Linked DNA regions of Arabidopsis thaliana. The protein of the gene in region 2 interacts with the protein of the main gene of each other region in a pairwise test. Each region holds a gene or a part of one and is shown on either strand. Other genes may lie near its edges.

Region 1 (4,526 bases), about 27 Mb from region 2:
GGACAAAACAATTCGATCTATATTATTACGTAAATTATAATGAGTTTTGGTTTTAAAAACAAATTTTAAAGGGTTTATATTTCTTATTTTTATATACAAAAAATAGAAGTGAAATAATTTGGAGAGATATGCTTAGATAGAAGAAAGAAACAGAAATGCATAATAATTGGTCGAGAGTTGATAGGGAATAAGGCAAGTCTCTTTGTGGCAATATTATTCACGCGCGTCAGACATTATTTAGATTTGTCTCTCTGCTTTCGTTGCCTCTTTTTCCGGTGTGAACTAAGCGACCCAAGTACTTTCTCCTTCACCTTTGAAAATGACGCCACGCATATCAGATTTTCTCGTGTTTCTTATTTTGAAAAAAAGTTGAAAAAGTTGAAAAAGGAAAAGTAAAAAAGAATCTGTAAATATTTTATACTACCATTCTCTTCTTTTTCTTTGTACACTTCGAATTTTGAATTTGGAATCTTTGATCTTGACGATCATGCCTTGCAAATATTTAGCTAGTGAAGCCATCAACTTTTTATAGAAAGATATTATTTAACATAACAATAGCATCATATCTTAATGAACTAAAAGAAGTACTAGCTACATTGTGTTACCCGTTGCGCATGTATTGTATCAACGAATGAAATTATAAAAACTAACGCTAACTAAATGGCCAAATATAATCAAACAGAAAAAACAAGAAGTTCTATATTATGAAACAGACTAATCGTGAGTAAATGTAATGATCAGATTAATCATACATTATTAATCTCTTAAACTCGACGACAAGAAAATCAATGAATACCTTTAAGTTAGTTGCTCTAAAGACTCTCTATATATGTTTATAATAGTAAAGCGAAGTAGATAGGTTTCGAAGAGGCCTTTTGCAACTTTATAATATTCATCTTGTAAAGATTCTAATCACTATTCAAAAGATTGATCCCGCCAACTTATTTAGTATCTGATAAAGATTTAGTCCTCTATATCTTAAAATGAATTGTTTTACCGTGCAGTGCACATTGAGAAATAAGCTAGAAGTTTCTTTTGTTGAACTGTCATTCTGGCTAAAATTATAGTTCTTTCAAAAAATTATAGTAACGGAAAATTTTCACATTTCAAGTTTGTTTAACATTACTAATCTGACTTTAGCTAAATTCTCATTTTATTTTAGAATTGCATGTGACATATTGGTTTGCTAACTATATACATCTACTTCAAAATTCAAGTTTCAACCTGAAGTTATATTCAGTATGTTTGAAAAGTAAATCACATATAGTAACATTTTGTTCAAAGCTTTAAAGCAATCAGAACAAAGTTTGACCATTTTAAATATAAAACTTACGTGAAGGAAAAAAAGTTGTTACATGACCTTTATTTTGAAATAATTGATGAGCATATCAATAGTATCAAAGTTTCTTTCAAAAGTATCAAAGTTTCTTTTCGTCCGTTGAGTTTCAAAAAACAGAATCATCAGAGCATATCACTTTGGATATAGCTTTTAAATTGATCCTGGGTACTTTTTCCTTTCTATGTTACCAATAATTAATCTATTATATATTATGTCATAAGATACATACCGATAAGAAATAAGTGAAATATAATGGTTACATCATTAACTGAAAACATATTTTATTCACTGCAAACAAATAAAATAACATAACATAGTAATTTTGGTAAGATCTTAAAATATCTGAAGTGACTTAATATGATTAATTAGATTGAGTTACCAATTAATATAAACTGAATAATAAACGTTTATTAAACTACAATTTCACTTAACATATCAAAATTTCACGATACTTTTGTTTACCCATATAGTTTTGCTTTAATTTAATTAGTTGGTGGGTCCTCGCAAATAATGAGAAATTGTGTGTTCTTCTTGTCCTTATAAATACCAAGAACTTGTTTGCACATTTTCACACACACTCCAACTTAAAGCACTATCATTATCACCATCATCATTATCAGCCATCACCATGACCCAACGAGCCAACCCTAAGACCGGCTGCCTCACGGCGGTAGTCCGCCGTCTTCTATGCTCTGGTAGCCAACAGACTCACCCTTCCGACAACATCCTCGACTCTGACGAAACACTCCAACTACTAATCTCTTACGAAGAAAACGAAGAGCCAAAGAAAGAGATCAAAACCGAAACCGAAACCCAAAACGATGACGTCTCTCTTCACCCTCCACCACCTCCTCCTCCTCCCAACGTTGTAGCCAAACTCATGGGGCTAGATCATCCCGCACCCGGATCAAAACGGTTCCGGTACTTTGATGATTCCGGTTCGGCTGTCACAAGGAGCAAATCGGTTAACTTCATGGACTACATCCTAAAAGGTCACGAGGAAGAAGAAGAAAACGAAGACGAGAAAGACGGTCAACGTCAGTGCCGGAGAGTCAAAGCTTCCGTTTCTTTCCGTGAGATAGTCCCAACCTCGGCGAGATGGAGCTCTAATAACCAACAAAAGAAACATGATTTCCTGCTGTTGTATCTTGACAAGCTTGACGAGAAGAGAGAACTTGTCGGATCATCGTCTTTTTCGAGGTCTAAAAGGTTCGAGAAGGTTGTGGAAGATTCCAAGAAGCCGCCATTGCCACCTTCGGCGCCGAAGAAGAAGGAGAACGAGAAAGTTGCTAAGAAGTTTAAAGATGAGCCGAGGAAAGTTGCGAAGAAGAAGAAGAGTGAGAATCGAAATGACGTTAACGGAGCCAAGAAAGTTCGTTGGTTTCTTTCTCCATCTAAGAGTAAGTCGTCGTCGGAGAAGACTGCGCTTCTAGGAGAATCAAAGAATATTCGGGCTGATGAGTTTATCGGAAAAGAGAGTGAGTCGCCGGAGAATAAGTCTAACGCGAGTCCGGTTTCGGTTCTTGATCGAGATCTTTATGATTATCTAATCCTTGACGATGATTACTACTTCTCAGGTGAGTCTACGAAATAATATTCAAACATTTTTATCTCTCGAACAAATATTTGAACTTAATTAATTGCTTTTTGAACCTTCTTTGAAATTTTGCGAAAAGAATCATCTCATGTGAGTAGTTTCCTACTTTAACTGCAAATGAGGTAAAAATTTGGTCATTTGGTCAACATTTTAACCGATTCAGTACACTTTATTTGAAATACTAAATAATAAGATTATTCAAAATTTGACCAATATAAGAATTTTCCTTAAACGTTGGATTTATTTGAAAAATGATTAAATTTAACCAATATAAGAACATTTTCGCTTTTAACATTTTTCTTGATTTTACTGTAAAAAAAGCTGCGAAAATGAGACTTTCTCAACATTTTCGAGAAATTTTATTTTTATTTGCCCAATCATATTTTAAACGTCACTTTAATTTGAAAAATAAAACAGGAGGAGATTCAGAAAGTGCATCGGAGTTGTCAACAAAGCAAGTAGAGACAGCAACAAAATCTTCATGTTCTTCATCACCAGCAAAAACAAAAACAAGTACCAAGAAAGAAAACAACAATAGCACCAACAATGATTCAGAAGAGACAGAGTTTATCACAAAACTAATGAATATGCTCTCAGATCTGTCTGAAGAAGACATGAAGTCTTCCACTTGGGTTTCTACTTCGTCAACTAAACCCGTTGACTTTACTCAGGTCGAAGATTTTTGTGTCGAATTTGGTCAAGAGATTCTTGACCTTGTTATGGACCAGCTAGTTGATGAACTCTGTATCTAGTTTAAATTCCCAATTATCAGAAATATGTCGTTTTAAAATCTTGTAATCCAAATGTTAACCAGAGACTCACAACAATCGAAATTTTCATCACTCCATATTTTCTAAAAGTGTTATGCGGCCAATATAAGTTATTGACCAGAAAAATTATGGTTAACATTTATGATTAGTACTAAAGACTATAATGTACTCGTCTTAAATAGTCCTATAGACAAATATACCTATCCAAAACACAAGTATGTATATGGCGAATATCACCAAATAAGCACAAGGATAATCTTAGTGACTCGAATACTCGATCATAAGAATGAAATTAAATTCAAATTCGATATGACGAATTATCAAATGCATTATAAATACATGTAGTGGGTCCAAAAACGGTCAAATCGGTTTTCTTCTGAATTTTGGAGAGCTCCGTAACTTCGAAATACGTACTGTCTCCTTTATGTCTATTTCACATGCAAATCATGGTCTCCTTCTAACGTTACTTCTTTGACGTTTTTTTGTACTTTTCTGTGTTTTTTTTGGGGGGTTCACATGTAAAATTCAAGAACATTTTCCCACTCTAAATTATTTAAGTTTCGAATTATAATTATTTCATTTAGTCATAAACTATTTTTTTGCCAACGAAAAAGTGGTAAATATTGAAGGTCCTTGTATTCGAACTGGTGACCTCACAGAGTTGGTCACACGGCTCTATACAATTGAGCTGACGCGGCGTATTAGTAATACGTGTTTTTTAAAATGAACGGATATATTAGTGTGAACGCGTTATAACACGGTTTCATGTTTTCGGTATTTTTATCTGTTGGTAGCTGTCTTGCAAGAGAAGAAAAGAATA
Region 2 (4,013 bases):
CTTCAGTTATTAACTCATTATCATGCCTTTCAGGTAAAAAGACAGATCGATGGATTTGTGTCAATGTACTACAAAGGCATAATGGTGGTATGTAAAACCTTCTCGCCTTGTTTTTTCCTCATAGTTCTGAACATTTGTGATTTGTCCTTCTTAATTTATGCTAAGACGTTTTCTTGTACATTTTGCCTTCAACAGTGTGAAGACGAGTCATGCAAGCACACAACCCGCTCCCCCAACTTTCGTCTACTCGGTGAACGTGAACGGGGGACAGTTTGCCCAAACTATCCTAACTGTAACGGAACCCTCTTACGAAAGGTATATACCATCATCAACCTTATAACTCCTATCTCTCTATTGCTTCACAGACTAACTCTTGACTTTACAGTACACTGAAGCAGACTTGTACAAGCAACTGTCATACTTCTGCCACATCTTAGACACACAATGCTCTTTAGAAAAGGTTTCTACTTTACAACCTTGTTATATTATTAATATCAATTTGTCTTGTCTATATCCCTAAAGTTATCGGTACCATTTGAAATAACAGATGGATGTTGGCGTGAGAATTCAAGTAGAGAAAGCAATGACGAAGATAAGACCTGCGGTTAAGTCAGCAGCAGCAATCACTCGAAGTAGTAGAGACCGGTGTGCTTATGGATGGATGCAACTCACAGACATAGTCATTTGATAGTTGTAATAATCATCTCATATGTAAGTAAATTAGTCTTTTATATATAATCTGCTTCAGACATCATTATAATCAAACTACTCAGATTTTGTTCACTCCTAAAGCTTATTAGCATAACTATAACTGAACATAGAAATCTGGCCAATGCTAAAACTCAAAACATTGTTCACTCCTGTCTGGCAGGTACTAGAGGAATTCCGATCATCATCATTGTCTGAATGTTATCTTCAAAGCAGAGTGGCTGTGGAAAAGCACATTCCTTGACTTGTTTTAGCTGGTTCCAGCGAGTGAGGAGCAGCGAGAAGAGTCTCTAGGTTCAGGTCTTGCTCTAAGGTCTCATTGATCCTTGTATGAGTTGGAGGTGGAACCTGTGGTAATCGCATAGGGTTTAAGCCTAAACCATTCATAACGGCTAAAGTCTGCATCATGCAGTAAATCAAGTTAATGATCTGAGTGATGTAATTTACAAATCAGACTTTGAACGTATATAATCATAGTAAGTAGGAAAAAAACCTGGACTTGAAGTTGAAGCTGCTTCAGATATTCTATAGCTTCATCAAGCATTGAGGCTTTATCAGTCTATAAACAAACAAAAGATAACGGATCAATCAGAACAATGTTTCTCACTATCTCTGATTCGAACAAAGATTGATTAACCTTGTTGGAATTGGGAATGAGTTTCTGCAAAGCTTTCATTTTCTCGTTGATCTTGCTCCTCCTCTTCTGCTAACACTCAGATTCTAATCAACTACAATCTCAAGGTTCTTCTTCTTTCTAAATTAAGAATCTTAAAAGGAAGATAAAAGAGAAAACCTTTTCAGACAAGTTGTGGAATTGAGCATCAATGTTTCTCTTCAACGAATTTCTCTGTTTAGCTCCACTTCTCTTTAGTGTTTAGCCATTCCAAAAAGAAAAGAGACTAATTTTGGTTTTTGTTTTCTTTTACAAGGAAAGCCAAGTGAAGCATCTCTGCAGCTAAGAATAGTTAAGTTTATACCTTGTGTTCGAAAGCATATTTGTCTTGGCCAGTTTCAGAGACTCCATAACCGACGGAAGAAACAGCTCCGCCGGAAACGGAAGGGAAGAAGGTCTCAGCGGAGGAAACATTAGTACTCTTCGGTGGTGAAGAAGGTTGAGCTGTAGGAGTACGGGAAAGAATCTGTCGGAGAAAGCTCGAGAGTTCGTCGGAAGAAGATGGAGGGGGAAGACGATCACCGACGTCAGAATCACCCATCTCTCTCTCTCTCTCTCTCTCTGCTCTACTCTGTGTGTAAAAATTATCACTGTGGCTTTTTCGTAGTAAAGCTTATAGGCGGGGGAGGTAGGACGCGTGAGATCACGTTCTTCAGAGAAGCGCGTGGAGGTTCTAAAAGAGGCGAGTGGCGTGTCGAATCCCTATAGACAGAATCTGGTGTCTCACATCACTCTGTGTGTGAACAGTTTCCTTTTGTAGCAATTTTATTTAATAATATTATATTTTTTACCTAATAAAAAAAAGGAAAAAAGCATTTTTGGACCACCAAGTAAATAAAAAACATACATTTTTATTGTTTTTTTCAATGTGATAAGTTAAATTGAGAGGAGGGGATGAAATTATGAAAATCAGTAAATGAAACGGTTGAAAAAATAAGAGTATTGATAAGATAGAGCATTGATAGACTATTTAATTATTATTATGACTAAACATGAAAATGGACAATTACTTGAAAAGTAAGGTCTCGCAACAGTTTCACCATTTTTGACAAATTACAAAAATCTATTTTTTCCTTCTTTTTTGTTGTTGTTGTTGTCCACAGATAAAGTGTGAATAAAACTGCATGCATTTCGAAAGATTATTTATTCGAGAGATTATTTAACACAAAATAAAATTCAGATATTATAATGGTCAATACAAAGACGATAACATGTCCTTGATCATTAGCCTTTTTTTAATGCATCCAAAGGGAAATATATATAATATAGTAATTAAAATAATTATGGTTCATAGCAAAAATAAGAATAACTAGATTTTAACCCGCGGTATACCGCGAAAACAATTTATTTTTTAAATTAATATATATAAAAGTTTGTAAATTGTATCTATCTATAAAATATTTTTATTGTATAGTTTACAATTGTTATTAAGTAACGTCCTGCCAAACCCGTCCCGCCAACCCGTCCTCTAAAAAAACTCATTTATTTTATGAATGTGATCTTATTTATGATATGTTTATGAATTATTGTCTAAATATTTTGTAATTTTGTAGTAATTAAATGTTATCAAATATCTCTACGGTTTGATGATTATAATCATGCAGAAAAGCAATATCAAAAATGATAATTTTGTAGTAATTAAATGATATTAAATATTTTAGAAGTTTTATTTTAGTAATTAATCGTGTAGTTAAGGTAGAGAGATTTTGGAAAGATTGTTAAATGTCAAATATTTAATTAGAAGATTTTCTTTCTAATTATCAAAAACAATTATTAAATGCCAATGACAGCCGCTGTAAATAAATCCCAACTCCAGAATTTATTTCACAAAGTGGCTGCAAAAATATATATATAGATGATAATAATCAAAATCAGAAATCAAATCAAAATCCAACTTGCCATCTAAATAAATGGAATCTTTCTAACTTGATAAAAAGGGAAATATTGGTAATTATGGTTCATAGCAAAAGAAAGAAACAAAAAAACTGAAATCCAACGAGATAAACGGAATCTTTCAAACTTGATAAAACATTTAAACGACTTCTCGGTTGCAAAGAGGACACTTGTTCGTGACCATTAGCCAATTCTTGATGCATCCGAAGTGAAAGTCATGCCCACATCCCAGTTTCGAAACTTCTTCATTGTCCTTCAATTTCTGCTGACAGATCACACATCTCTTCGTTTCATCGTCGCTACGCTTTTCATATTTCCTTCTTATTAGATTCTCATCAATCACTTCCTCGCTTAAACCAGTGCGTTCATCTCCTGTTTCGTCAGTGATGCTCAATAATTCCTAGAAAAAAAAAGATTCATTCATAAAATTATCGATATCTAAACTCTGCAGCTTATACAACTCTAGAATCAAGAAACCAAAATGGTACATATAATTTTTATTAAAGAGAGTCCTAATCTCTTCTACATCTAGGATTCAAATGCACTTCTTTGAAAACTACACATGCAACCGACTAGTTAACCAATACTGGAAGCATTAAATTTTCAATGTTATCTTGCAAAAAACTCTAAAGTGCTAACTTCTAAGATACAATGTTCATAACAAATGAAAAAATGGTGAAGGCTTTCAAATGTGATGTAAACACTTTAGTAGTTTTTGAAGATATTTGCATATCAAAAC

What was found.
Region 1: the proteins of ALC (region 2) and ACI1 interact in a two-hybrid assay, tested with the Arabidopsis thaliana proteins (one study listed by BioGRID).

What each region holds. Positions count from the first base shown.
Region 1 is NC_003076.8:150,608-155,133, forward strand, and holds ACI1 (ALC-interacting protein 1), read left to right. Parts: upstream 1-1,838; 5' UTR 1,839-1,967; coding exon 1,968-2,916; intron 2,917-3,353; coding exon 3,354-3,688; 3' UTR 3,689-3,860; downstream 3,861-4,526.
Region 2 is NC_003076.8:26,784,417-26,788,429, forward strand, and holds ALC (basic helix-loop-helix (bHLH) DNA-binding superfamily protein), read right to left. Parts: upstream 2,016-4,013; 5' UTR 1,923-2,015; coding exon 1,686-1,922; exon of another isoform or gene 1,574-1,685; coding exon 1,502-1,573; exon of another isoform or gene 1,412-1,501; coding exon 1,346-1,411; coding exon of another isoform or gene 1,268-1,345; coding exon 1,202-1,267; exon of another isoform or gene 1,108-1,201; coding exon 916-1,107; 3' UTR 690-915; downstream 1-689. Other genes in the region: ICU2 (DNA-directed DNA polymerase), read left to right, coding at 34-87, 196-315, 386-460, 548-688; AT5G67120 (RING/U-box superfamily protein), read right to left, coding at 3,414-3,674. UniProt on the Arabidopsis thaliana protein: Required for the dehiscence of fruit, especially for the separation of the valve cells from the replum. Promotes the differentiation of a strip of labile nonlignified cells sandwiched between layers of lignified cells.